Linked DNA regions of Cricetulus griseus. The protein of the gene in region 1 purifies or fractionates together with the protein of each later gene. This does not show direct contact. Links are inferred from orthologs where the notes say so. Each region holds a gene or a part of one and is shown in the gene's direction. Other genes may lie near its edges.

Region 1 (5,532 bases):
GAATTGAACTCAGGTCCTCTGGAAGAACAGCTGGTGCTCTTAACTGCTGAGCCATCTCTTCAGCCCCATTTTGTCTTTTTTTTTTTTTTAAAGCTTGCAGAGATACATCTACTTGGCTTTGTGCTCTCAAGTACTCAAGTACTGGGATTAAAGTCTTGTGTCTCCACTCTTTGGGGTTTCTGTTTGGAACTGTGGGGAGTTGCAGAATTCCTTTGGGAGCCATGTAGCTTTTTGTTTTGTTTTGGTTTTGGTTTTGGTTTTTGAGACAGGGTTTCTCTGTGACTTTGGAGCCTGTCCTGGAACTAGCTCTTGTAGACCAGGCTGGCCTCAGAACTCAGATACCCGCCTGCCTCTGCCTCCCGAGTGTTGGGACTAAAGGTGTGTGCCACCACTGCCCAGCTACACTGCCTCAGTTTCTTGAGTGCTGGGATTAGAGGTGTGCACCCCTACCACCCTGCTTTTTTTCTTCTTCTTCTTGCCAGGTAGCTTTGGAACTGTACTTTACAGCTATGTAACTTATGTTACACTCTGATGAAGAACAAATGTCTACCAGTCATTGTAGGTGCTTTTTTGTTTTGTTTTGAGACAGGTTTTTTTTCTGTGTATCCTTAGCTGTCCTGGAACTCACTGTGTAGACCAGGCTGGCCTGGATCTCAGAGATCCACCTGCCTCTGCCTCCTGAGTGCTGAGATAAAAGGCGTGGACTACCACCATCCCTGGTGATTGATGCTTTTGCTAAATACAAGGGAATTGTTTCTGTGTTTTGTTTAAAAGTACCTTCAAAAATGATATTTTTTTCTTTCCGTTTAATTATTCTAGTAAAGTTACTTGGGCTGTCCTGGAGCTTGCTCTGTAGACGAGGCTGGCTTTGAACTCATAGATCTGCCTGCCTCTGCCTCCTGAGTCCTGGGATTAAAGAGGTGCACAACCAACACCTGGTAGAGATGTTTGTATTGTCCTTGCCACAGACCTCCAGTAGTCTGGGCAGCACTGGTCCTCATTGGACCACTTCCACCCTCTGTCTTCTGTTTATACTGGAACTAATGGCACTTGTGTATGGGGGGGAACTGAGAGTCTTTTCGTTGCTGGTATGCCATGCTATTTTCCATCACCTCTCTTGTTCCTAGGACCCTCGAGATGCCCCTCCTCCAACAAGGGCAGAAACCCGGGAAGAACGCATGGAGAGAAAGGTATGTTGTTTTTACGTGAGTCTTTTGTTTTTTCAGAACAGGGTCTTTCTGTGTAGCCCTGGCTGTCCTGGAGCTCATTGTGTAGACCATGCTGGCCTTGAACTCACAGAATTCCGCCTGCCTCTGCCTCCCATGTGCTGGCATTAAAGGTTCGCCGCTGCCGCCAGGCACTTCTTAGTCTTGCTATATTTTTACCTACTTTTTTCCAGAGATCCCTGTAGTCCAGGTACCCCTGCTTGCACTTAACTCTACATTTTCTTTCTATTGGCAGAGACGGGAAAAGATTGAACGGCGACAGCAGGAAGTGGAGACAGAGCTGAAAATGTGTAAGGTTCTCCTCCCTCCTATCAATCTTCCCCTCCAGTCTCATTTTGTTCCTCTTGTTTTTGTTTGTTTGTTTGTTTTTTGTTTTTTGTTTTTTCAAGACAGGGTTTCTCTGTGGCTTTGGAGGCTGTCCTGGAACTAGCTCTTGTAGACCAGGCTGGTCTTGAACTCACAGAGATCCGCCTGCCTTTGCCTCCTGAGTGCTGGGACTAAGGGCATGCGCCACCAACGCCTGGCTTCATTTTGCTGCTCTTACCAGGTCATACCTGAGCCACTATTCTCCTGGGTGCCTGAGAAAGCAGAGTTAGTTCACTTTCCTAGCAACCACTTGCCAAGCATAGCTCTTGGATTAGGCTCTCTGTTTTAAAAGTTCTTGTATGCCTTATTAGTTTTTAAAAAACATGTATGAGTGTATTGCCTATCTGTATGTGGGAGATCAGAAGAGGGCATAGGATTCCCTGGAACTGGAGTTGGATAGTTATGAGCTGCTATGTGGGTGCTGGGAATGAAACACCAACTCCTGGAAGAGCAATCTGTGCTCTTAATCGCTGAGCCATCTCTCCAGCTCCAGTTGGTGTAGGCTTTTAACAGGTAGGATTACCCCAGTCACTTGCCCTATCTATAAAAGGACCACATCCCATTGTGTCTCCAGGATAAGGCATGAGGTGATCTGGTCAGTTGGTCCTGTCTTTATCCCTGGCTTCCTGATCCTGGAAGTGGAGATGCTTTACCATCCAGGTGTGGAGAATTTAAGTAGTGCTTGGTAACCAGACTCAAAAGGATGAGATCTCAGTGTTCTGTATGTAAAGACTCATCATTATCTATCTCCATCTATTGTCTGCAGCCTTAGTGAATCGTTTCTTTCTAAACCATATGCTAGAACTTCTGGGTTTTCTCAAGTGTATTTAGTATACATGACTAACAGATGGGGCATGGAGCTCTGGTTCTTACACCATACCTGGCTAGATGTTCTTTCATGCGCATACTACATGTTGAAGCCACACAATCACCTTCCTCTCCTCCCAGTTCCTAAGGGATTCAACCTTCCCTGAGACATGGCTTTCCAGATGTTGATACTCTGTTTTTTATACCTGTGTTATGATTCTCTAAAGGAACAGAATTGAGAATGGGGAAAATTCAATCAATCAATCAGTCAATCAAGTTCAAAAGGCCAACTGGTCTACCTCCATTAAAAAAAAAAAATCCACAGAGACAACTGGTAAACCTCTATACATTATTTTAAAACAAGACAACTGGTCGACCTCCATTTATGTTTTATATATATCTGTGTCCATGCCGGACACGCAACACACACACACACACACACAGATTAGAGTGGCTGTCTCTCAACAGAAAGGCTAAGAGTCTGTTAGTGTTCGGTCCACAAAGTTGGATATCTCAGCTTTATTCCATGTTGGAATTCTGAATAAGTAGGTTCTAATACCAGTGAAAGAATGGCTCAACAGCAGGATGGATGAACTTGGCAGGAGAGTGAAGATAGGTAGGCAAAAACTTCATTCATTCATGGTTTTATGTTGGCTGCCAACAGAAGGTGTGGCCCTGATTTAAGTTGGATCTTCTTACCTTAAATAATTCAATCCAGAAATCCCCACAGGCATGGGTTTTAGTTGATTTCAGATGTGTTAAAGTTTACAACTAGATTAGCCACAGCATCAATATAACTTTCCCAGCTTATCACCAAGACCTGTCCTGCTACTTGCTAAATGTCACAACATTAGACATTCCTGTCCTCCAGTAGCACCGATCCCTTTTGGCTTGGGCAGTGCTGTAGCAGTGTGTCTTGTTTACTTGACCTTCCCTAGCCAAAATCCTTTATGGGGCTTTGTTAGGACAAGCGCTTATCTCCGCCTCCTGACCTCAGCATAAAAGCCCAGTCTCTTCCTTGCCTATCCAGGTATGCTTTGCACCCCGTGGAGAATGTGAAAGATTGTATAGAACAGACTGACCTCATTTCCTTAAAACAAACAAAAAAACATATAAACAACTTGATAAGGAAAAGTTGGGGCAAGTCAGTAGGTATGTTTAAAAAGTGTTAAGAACCAGCATAGCAGGCTCTTGGATGTGACTGAAGCTCTCAAACTGGGGTGGGGGAATGTAGAAATCAATCAAGTTAGGCCTGTATCTTATACAGAAGGGCAGTTAGGTTTCTGGTCAGCCTAGTGAACTTTTGTAGCTTTGAGACTTCTTGTGGGCTAGTTTCTTCTTGGGGTTCTGACCAGTGAGAGCAAAGGGGTGCAGCTGAGTACAGAGGCAAGCATGCCACACACGAACACTTAGTAATAGGCACTGCCTATTACTTGCTGTCTTCCTGGTAATGTATTCTTTCAGATAGGAGTACTTCATCAGCCCCATGGTAAGCAAGAACTCTAGGCATCTCAAATAGAGATGTTTCCCTCTTTTGTGTGCTTCCTACTGCCTTTCAGGCAAGCTCAGTTCTCATTGACTGGCATCCACCCTGTAGGCAGCACTGGACACATACATACCCATTGCACTCTACACCTAGTGTTTGGGGTGTATGTGTGCATTTTTACCTTGACACCTTTGGACATGTCTCAGCAGCCAGTTTATGGGGTGCTGTTCTCCACTGAACCCAAGCCTTTGTGCATGTACTCTCCTAACTTTATTATTCTGATCCATATACCCATGCCTCCTTTTTATTTAGGTAGCTTTTAGGTTTTTTTCTTTTGAGACAGGGTTAGCCCTGACTGTTCTGGAACTTGCTTTGTAAACCAGGCCAGCCTTGAACTCACAGAGATCCATCTGCCTGCCCAGTACTGGGACTAAAGGCATGTGTCACCAGGCCTTGTGACAGTCTTAATGTCTTGAGTCCTCTTCTGTCACCATATTAACAGCCATGCCCTTTTGATCAAAAGGACCACCACTGTGGCTGATTGTTTGGGTTTAGTTTTGATGTTGGTGGGAAGGTCACAACTGATAACTGAAGAGACTTGCCTGTGTCCTGTCAAAAATATGCTAAAACAATCTGTAGTAAGGACAGTCTCTCTGGACTTTTAAAACATGCTTATAGGCCACCAGTGAAAAACAGAAGGACCCCCTCCCCCCCCTTTTTTTAAGATTTACTTATATATACAGTGTTCTGTCTGCATGTATGCTTGCATGCCAGAAGAGGGCATCAGATCTCATTACAGACGATTATGAGCCACCATGTGGTTGCTGGACTTGAACTCGGGACCTCTAGAAGAGCAGCCAGTGCTCTTAACCTCTGAGCCATGTCTTAGTTTTTTGTTTGTTTGTTTGTTTGTTTTTGAGACAAGGTTTCTTTGTGTAACAGCTCTGGCTGTTCTGGAACTCCCTTTGTAGACCAGGCTGGCCTCAAACTCAGAGATCCACCTGCCTCTGCCTCCTGAATGCTGGGATTAAAGGCATGTACCACCGCTGCCAGTGGTTACTAGGTTCTGAAGACTTAATCCCTTGGTGACTACATGGGAGGTAGTTCTCCATGCCACTTTGTCCTGGTCATTTCCTTCAGCACTAGCTTGGAGTCCCTACCAAAGGCCGTAGGATATGGGGCGGGGGGACTATTCGGACTGTCTTTCTTTTTGAGAGAGAGTCTCACTATGTAGCTTGGCTGACCTAAAACTCATTATGTAGACTAGGCTGAGTTCTGCCTGCCTCTGTGCCGGGATTAATTCATGGGTCATCACACCCAGTTTATCCTGGACTCCTGTCTTAGATCTGAGACTGCTTGGTATCAGGCTTCCCCCTGGCTGTGGCTGCAATCTTAATGAGTGGCAGTACTGTTAGGGAACAAGATAGCTTGAGTCATCCCTCCAGAGGGGTTCCATAGACTCAGTTACTGCTCAGCTCACCGTGCATGTACTGGGAATGGCTGGCCAAAGTCCATAGTTCTTAAATGGCATCTTGGTCTGCCACCTCCTATCTATTTAATTTTTACCCCAGCAGTCTGTTGTCCTCATTGTCAATCACTCTAGAAAAGGCCATCTAGCTTTACTGAAACCAAATCCTAAGTAGGGTG
Region 2 (4,260 bases), on another chromosome or scaffold:
TCTTTGTGAGTTCAAGGCCAGCCTGGTCTACAAAGTGAGTGCCAGGATAGGCTCCAAAGCTACACAGAGAAACCCTGTCTCGAAAAACCAAAAGAAATGAATGGGGGTAGGCTGGATATCTAGATGGCTCAGTAAGACTTTGTAGTGTTCATGCAGAGGAACAAAGTTCGGTTCCAGCACCTACCTCAGCTGGTTCACAAGCCCTCAATGCCTCTGACCCCCACAGGAACTGCACATACCCTGAACAGACAAACATGGATACACATAACGTTGTTTTTGAGACAGGGTTTCTCTGTGGCTTTGGAGGCTGTCCTGGAACTAGCTCTTGTAGACCAGGCTGGTCTTCAACTCACAGAGATCCACCTGCCTCTGCCTCCCGAGTGCTGGGATTAAAGGCGTGCGCCACCACCGCCCGGCCCACAAAATCGTTAATACATAAATTAAATAGGTAATAGGCCTGGAGTACAGCTCAGTGGTAGAGCCCTTGCTGGCACATTTGAAGGCTCTGGGATCAATTCCCAGTACCGCACTACAAGGCACAGGGAATGGTACAGAAGAGATAACATTTTAAAGTTATTCTTGGCACATTCCTTCACACACAGCACAGATTCTACAGGAGGAATATCTAGTCTCTCTACCCAAAGGTAAGGGAACTTTCTTTTGGAGACAACCCTATTCTTTGTGTAGCCCTGGCTGTCCTGAAGGTGGTCTGCCTCTGCCTCCCGAGCGCTAGGATTAGAAGTGTGCTCCACCACCGCCAAGCAAGAGAAACGGTTTCTCATTGGCCTGCCCGCCCCATTTCAGCTCCGTCTAAGATGGTGAAGACTAAGGACACCGCAAGAGACTAGTTTGGCTTTTGCTTCAGAACCTGGACCAGAGTCGGTTTACGTGGTTCCAGGGGTGCTAGGAGACTTGACTTTGGAGCAACTCCTCCTGAGAGCGGGAGACCCGGTGCTGTGTGCCCTCAGAATTGCTGAAGAAACCCGCAGTCACAGGGAAGAGGTAGAGTTGCTGAGCCATTGCCACACAACACAGGCAGACAAAATGGCGACACTGCCGGGAGAAGGTGCTCTGCGACGCGCTCTCTACAGCTGAACTACAATTCCCAGAACTCTCTGCGCGGGGGGCGGGAGGCATTCTTCGACGTTGCGGGTAGAGAACCCCGTGCCCCTCCCCCTTCCCGCAGAAGATTTCCAGCAGACGTTGCCTCTTCGGTACGGTGCCTCGCCTTTCCCCGCTTTTCCCCCGCAGTGCCCGACGGGACTCGGGGTTTTTCGACTTCGCTACCGAACGTCCCTTGCGCCTAAAAAAAAAAAAAAAAAAAAAAGAACCTATATCGCCATCGTGTGCCTTCAACGCCTGCGCACAACGCACTACGGCTCCCAGAGGGCCCAGCGCCTCTCGTGGTTGCGTGCTGACGCACTCGGTCGTGCTGACGTGCACCGCGGTCCAGGCGGGGTGCGAGTGGCGCAGTCGAAGCCCGCTGCGGCCCCTGAGGAAGCGGACGAGGCGGCGGCGGCGGAGGCGGCTGAGGCGGGCGGACCCGCGAGGCGGCGGCGGCGGCTTCAGGCCCCGAGGGATCCGAAGACCTTAGCAGCGGCCGCGGCAGGACCTCTCCCCTTCGGAGGCGGCGGCCGAAGGCGGCGGCGGGTGAGAGAAAGGGAGCGCGCTAGCTGGGTGGGGGAGGGGCGGCGGTCTCGGCTCGAGGCCAGGGCGCTCGGAGAACGGCCCAGGCCGCCTCGCGCACGCGTGCTCGGCGCCCCGGCTCGCGCGGACGCCTTCTCCTACCCTTCTCCCTTCCCCTCCCGCGGTTCCGGTGGCGCGCGGCCCTCCACTCGCTCGCCCCTCCCCCACATGGCAACGGCGCGCGCAGCGCCGCCGCCGCCGCCGCCTGGTCTCCCGTCCGCGCGTCCCCGAGGAGATAGCGGCGCGCGGGCCTCTCTGGTTGCCGCCGTCTTTGCTCTACCTGGGTCTGAAGAGACCCTCGTTCCGCGCTCGCCCTTTTCCGTCTTGAGTCGCGGGGAGGGGGCGGCAGCCGGGGGGTCCTGTGCCCCGCCCGGGCTTCCGACCTGCGGGTATCCCACCCCGATGACCCGGGCGTGGGCCCTCCTGCCCCTGCTGGGGGCCTGAGAAACGGCCGGGCCTCAGACTGCGGGGCGGGCGGGCGCCGCGCGGCCCCCTCCCCCATTCTCAAGGCCGAAAATAGGCCCGGCGGCCAGTGAGCGAGCGCTGGGAGGCCTTGAACATCGGGAGGCCCGGACTTGTCCTTAGAGCGCTGAGGTTATGAGTGTGTGTGAGGTGGCGGGGTCGGGTATCCCCAAATCTTAAAAGTAAAAAAAAAAAAAAAAAACGAACGTGTTCAGTCCGCGTGTATAAGGAAGATCATGTGCTCCTGCCTACTACCTGGCTATTTATTTATTTTTTTTACCTTCTGGTTTTATGAGATAGCCTGTCTAGCCTGGAACTTCAGAGATCTGCCTGCCTCTTTACCGAGTGCTGGGATTAAAGGCATGCGCCACCGTGTCCGCCTCCTACCCTGCTTTTTAAACATGTCTTCTCAAATGATACAGCTAGGGTGGCTTTTGCAGCTTTTCAATGGGAAGGCAATTCTGGGCTTAAACAGCCTGGCTTGTGTCAGCCATTACTTGGCATGAATTTCTTCCTATGCTGTTTCCATTTTGCAGTTCTTTTAAGCTGTTTCAAAGATTCAAAAGGAGTCTTGTTTTTTCTCCTTTGGATGGGCTTAGGTAAGGTCTCTTCCTGGGTTAATATTGGAGCTGCGTATGTTACACATGTGTTTACATAGTTAATAGTGTCTCAGCCCTGAGTTCTCAGTATTTTACTCTGTCCTTTTCCTGGGCCCATTGCTGTTCTCTCAGGTGCCCCTCCCACCTTTTTTTTTTTTTTTTATCTTGAATGTCTTAGTTCTAAATTTCTGCCTCTTGTAGTTTGTCATTCTGATCATTATTTTCCCTTGGCAACTTGGTTTCTTTCTGTTCTTAACTTTGGAAGGCTTGCATACTTTGTGCTCCTGTTTTAAGTGCTGCCTGGTTTTGGTAATTCCCTTTTAGTGTCTTGAGCACTACTTTGGATCCAGGGTGGTGTCTCTCTCTCTTGTCTGTCTCCCTCTCCCTCCCTCCCTCCCTCTCTCTTTCTCCCCCTCTTTTCCTCTCTCTCTCTCCCTCTCTCTCTCTCCCTCCCTCCCTCTCTCTCTCTCCCTCTCTCTCTCTCTCTCACACACACACACCTCTTTCCTGAAAGGTCACCAAAATCATGATTTTTAATACATTTTACTTAGCCTTCTTCAGGTATGGAGTGGGCGGATTTTTGTGTGAAATGGTGGAAGTGTGTGTAAATTGGAAGATTGTAAGAAGCCTTTTGCATGGGCTGGAGAGAGAGCTGCTCTTCCAGAGCTCCTGAGTTCAATCTCCAGCAACCACATAGTCCCTCAAAACCAGCTATAATGAGATCAGATGCCCTCTTCTGGTGTTCAGTCAAACATTCAGGCAGAACACTGTATATATAATAAATGAAATACATCTTAATGAAATAAATCTTTAAAGAAAAAGAAAAAAGCCTTTCACAGAGGACACAAATGAAGCAATATAGGCCTTAGATTTAGAGGAAGAAAGGATTGGTATTTTTAGACTTTTAAGAATGATTGTTGGGCCTGGCTTGGTGGCGCTTGCCTTTAATCCCAGCACTTGGGAGGTGGAGGCAGGCGGATCTCTGTGAGTTCGAGGCCAGCCTGGTCTCCGAGTGCCAGGATAGGCTCCCAAGTTCACAGAGAAACCTTGTCTCGAAAAACCAAAAAAAAAAAAAAAAAAGATTGTTGGAAGGTACTACAGAAACATTTCTTGGCTCTAAAAAAAGGTTTTTCTGTGGCTTCCTGAATTTACACTTGTTTTTCATAGATTTAGTCTTATCTGTTATTCATTCTCGACCCTGATAGACTTCTTACTTGTATTGAGTAGGTCTTAGGATAGGCTTGATTGAGGGTGGGAAGGGACAGAAGTACATTTGGGTATTTTCTTTACATTTGACATTTGTCTTTTTTTTTTTTTTTCTTCTTCACACTTTGGTGTTTTGTTGAGGAATTGATATAATACTGGTTCTGGAATTCTGTGAGTGTAATCTTTTATCCAACTCCATCTCTTCCATCTGCTTTTACTAACCTTCACTTTTCCCTGTTGTGTGCTTGCTTGTCTTTAATGTTCTGAAAATCTGTCTTGGAGAAAATGTGTTGGAGTGGAAAAAATA
Region 3 (4,027 bases), on another chromosome or scaffold:
ATAAGGGTTTGCAGTGTAGCCATGTCTAGAGAGGACTATAGACTTCGCACAATTGTAGGGAGTTCCGGAAGGGTGTGAACAAGGGTTTGAGACCGATGTCTGCCTGCTGAGGCTGGTGTAGGAGTTTTTTGATCCCGCTGTCTACTCTTGTCAGATAGTTTCAGTCTGACTCTCTCTAATCCGTTAGAAATGTTCAATAAGAAAAACAAAGGGGGGGGGGCTGGAGAGATGGCTCAGAGGTTAAGAGCACTGACTGCTCTTTCAGAGGTCCTGAGTTCAATTCCCAGCAACCACATGGTGGCTCGCAACCATCCGTTATAAGATCTGGTGCCCTCTTCTGGTGTGCAGATATACATGGAAGCAGAATGTTGTATACATAATAAATAAATAAAGTCTTAAAAAAAAAAGAAATGTTCAATAAGGGGTGGAGAGATGGCTCAGTGGTTGAGAGCACTGGCTCTTCTTCCAGAGGCCCTGGGTTCAATTCCCAGCACCCACATGGTAGCTCACAGCTGTCTGTAACTCCAATTCCAGGAGATCCGATACTTTTGTGCACATAAAATAAAGTTAAATAAATTATTTTTTTTAAAGAGAATTGTTCAATAAATTGGAATCACTAAAGAAAAAGTTCTCTTTTGTACTGGGGTGTCCCTATGTAAATAGCCCAATGGGCGGTTCCTCACCAAATCAGGCTAGGAGCAAAGTACTTTCAGCAAAGTACCCTGTACTATATGAAAACAGAAGTTTTCAATGGCACACAATAGAGAGAGAGAGGAGAGAGGAGAGAGGAACAAATACACAGATACAATGTGTATTATTAAAACCCTAGACACGCAAATAGAAACTCTGCGCCACTGCCATCATCACATCCGTCACCATTACGGCAGGAACGCGGCACGTGCCAGTTCCGCAGGACGAGTGACAGACGCCGGCAAGCTTCCGCCAACAGAGACTGCGAGAGCAGGTTGGGCGGGGCAACAACCCGGCCCCGGGAAAGAGAGCAGCGCGCGTGCTCACTGCACCACCTCTTCCGGAGCGGGCGGGCCGACTGGATGGTTCTCCCGGGTCCCGTGAAAAACCGTGAGAGCGCAAATCCCGTACCTAGCCCCTGCCTCCTTATAGGCTAAATCCTGCCCCGGGCCCGCCCTTTTAGCCACAGGCCCCGCCCCACAACCTACCTTTTCCGGCGCTGTAACGCAGCAGCGGTTGGCTGGTGGGGCGGACGACATGGCGGCGTCCTTGTTGGGCTCGCTGCTGCGGACTTTCCGGCAGGTCAGGCCCTTGCCTTTCTCGCCAGCCCACTTCTCACCCCTGAACCCCGTGTCCTGTGGGTTGCCCGGTACCCTGGGGACTGTCATGCACACGGAGGACCAATCCCAGGCCTCCTACCATCCGCTTTCCCCTTCCGGCTTGGTTCGGAGAGGCCTAACCGGCAAAGGAGGGTTTGGTGTTTAAGCGTGGAGCCCTGATTTGAAAGCTGAGAGGTTGATCCCGGCTTTCAGGAGCTGCGTGCGTGTAAATAGAACAGAAAAGGGACCGGAGGATTGAGGCCTCACGGGTGGTGACAGAATTTCGAACAGGGAGCAGGCCATTCCGCTAAAACTGGAAGGTTAATGAAAGATTTGAGGAGTGACAGTGTTACGATGCGCACAGAAACTGGGAAAAACAGCAAAGGAAATTGGAGAAGTGTTCGGGAGAGTTCTGCAAGGGGTGGTGGGGAGGGCGGTGTCAGCCAGAGACAGAGAGAGAGACCTTACTTAGTTCTTTTTCCTTTACCACGACAGAAGGAACATCATATTCGTAAGATATCGTTATCAGATATAAACAACAACGTCTGGGGGGGGGGACCCACTAAAGTGGGAAATGATGATCCAGAGAACAGGGAAGGATCGCCAGAGCTCTGCCTTTGCAAGCAGGAGGTGACATAGGGTCTCGTGTATGAAGTTTGATCTCAGGATCATGTACAGGTCACGTCTAGCACTTTTGTCCAATAGAAATGTAAAGCCAAACAAGGGTGATTGGTATTTTTTCTAGTATTTAAACTGAAGTAAGAAAGTAGGTACAAGTTAATTTTGATAGATATTTTTAGCCAGGTATATCCATATTTTAACAAGTCAAGATTATATATAGTGATTTGTGAGACATTTACATTCCTCTGTTGGAAGTAGGTTTTCAAAATCTTACTTGTGTTTTATACCTAAAACATACTGCTGTTGGGATGCTAAATTTTGCAAATGATATAGTGGAAAAACGCAATTGTGCCAAAAACAAAGTTGCTTGCTATTTGAAAATTTAAGTGACTTAGTATCAAGAATTATGTCCCCAGTTGTACTGCTCACAGCCATATCCATGTCTAGCGGCCACTGTAACAGAAAGTTGACATAACCCTGGAGGGGTTACAGACTGTAGTACAAAAGCTACATTTGAGTGAATAGGTATGGAAGTTTGGAAATTCTCCTCACATTGCTTCTGATTTAATAACTAAGGAACATTAAAGTCACCGGAACATTAGGGATTGGGAGCAGGGGACAGTGATTTAAGGAAGAGGAACTCCTGCAAATTGTCCTCTGATTTCCACTTGGGTTATAGTATGTACATGCACAAGCAAATAAATAAATGTAATAAATCAGTTTTTTAAAATACTAAGTCTTGGGCTGGTGAGATGGCTCAGTGGGTAAAATGCTTACCACCAAGCCTGTCTAGTTCAATGTGAGGACTCGTGGTAGAGGAGAGAGCTGACAGAAAGTTGTCCTCTGACCTCCACATGCATGGCCATTCACATACACACAGTACGGACTCACAGGTTGGCCTCTGACCTTCACAAACATGTCCATCCATACACAAGCACTTGTGTGCATGTATATGTGCCAAATAAATGTACTTTTTTTTTTTTATTGCCAAAAGTCCTAAGTAGAGACTGAAAGAAGTTTACAGGATTGGAAAAACACTTGCAGTGCCTGTGATCCTGTCTCTGTCTTTTAGGCAGTCCCTCCATCAACATCAAGTCAAGTTCGAGGTTACTATGTAGACTGGAAAATGTTGCGTGATGTGAAGAGACGAAAAATGGCTTATGAATATGCAGATGAGAGACTTCGGATCAATTCACTCAGAAAGAATACCATTTTGCCAAAAGACCTTCAGGTTAGCTGCTGAGTCCCTGTCTTTCCCAATATCATTTACTGATGTCATTTCAGATTCTTTTTGATGCTTTTTATTGCAACTTAGTATTAATGTAATTTTCTGGAGAATAAGATCAAATACTCAAGTTTACATAAATAGCCTTAAAACCAACTTTGGTAAGTTTAGGCTAAAGGACAACTGTTCACTCCTTCCTGGTTTTTCAGCCATTTCATTATACAATCCCTACATAGTACTACTGAGTGGTGACCACATAGAAAGTAAGAAGTATTTTGATGAAAGGTCTCCCCAGTTTCATACCAGTCTTGGAACCTTCAAGGCATTTGGAGGTATTGCTGATGCATGGGCTATGTACAAAACACATGACCTGTGGTCCTTACTCAAGACCTGCCGTCCTGAACTTTTGCCCTTTCCAGGTCCATGGTTAGGTAGTCTTCCATTTAGCCTTCCTTTCTTCTCATGTACTTCCAGTTAAATAAGAGGGTGTCAACCCTGTTTGGCTTCCTGTGGCATTTGGTTTTATACTTAGGTGATGGCATAATACATGTACTGAACTGAAGAGGCTTGTAGGAAATTAGAAAATCAAGGCTACTTACTTTACTGAAAGTTCACAGAAAGAAACAAAACAAACATTTATACAAATTGGCAGAATGATTTAGTCTGTTTATGTATTCTTCACCCCCCCACCCCCACCCCTTTGGTTTTTTGAGACAGGAGTTCTCTTTGTAGCTCTGGCTGTCCTGGAACTTGATCTGTAGACCAGGCTGGCCTCGAACTCAAGAGATCCACCTGCCTCTGCTTCCTGGTTCCACAGTCTATCATAGGGTCAGTGGTAGATGCCAATACCTCTGACAAATGTATTGGTATAAGTATATATATTAACATACTC

The links. Proteins that work in one complex are often made in the same cells at the same time.
Region 2: the proteins of Snrnp70 (region 1) and Srrm2 purify together in Homo sapiens (affinity purification with mass spectrometry; 3 studies listed by BioGRID and IntAct, counting the BioPlex papers as one, with this or other methods). This does not show direct contact. The link is inferred for Cricetulus griseus from reciprocal best matches to the Homo sapiens genes SNRNP70 and SRRM2.
Region 3: the proteins of Snrnp70 (region 1) and Mrps14 purify together in Homo sapiens (affinity purification with mass spectrometry; 3 studies listed by BioGRID and IntAct, with this or other methods). This does not show direct contact. The link is inferred for Cricetulus griseus from reciprocal best matches to the Homo sapiens genes SNRNP70 and MRPS14.

Annotation. Positions count from the first base shown.
Region 1 is NC_048599.1:154,295,939-154,301,470, reverse strand, and holds part of Snrnp70 (U1 small nuclear ribonucleoprotein 70 kDa), read left to right. Parts: intron 1-1,127; coding exon 1,128-1,190; intron 1,191-1,461; coding exon 1,462-1,516; intron 1,517-5,532. UniProt on the Homo sapiens protein: Component of the spliceosomal U1 snRNP, which is essential for recognition of the pre-mRNA 5' splice-site and the subsequent assembly of the spliceosome. SNRNP70 binds to the loop I region of U1-snRNA.
Region 2 is NC_048600.1:43,318,587-43,322,846, forward strand, and holds the start of Srrm2 (serine/arginine repetitive matrix protein 2), read left to right. Parts: upstream 1-1,460; 5' UTR 1,461-1,650; intron 1,651-4,260. UniProt on the Homo sapiens protein: Required for pre-mRNA splicing as component of the spliceosome. As a component of the minor spliceosome, involved in the splicing of U12-type introns in pre-mRNAs.
Region 3 is NC_048598.1:31,845,527-31,849,553, reverse strand, and holds the start of Mrps14 (28S ribosomal protein S14, mitochondrial), read left to right. Parts: upstream 1-1,227; coding exon 1,228-1,272; intron 1,273-2,982; coding exon 2,983-3,141; intron 3,142-4,027.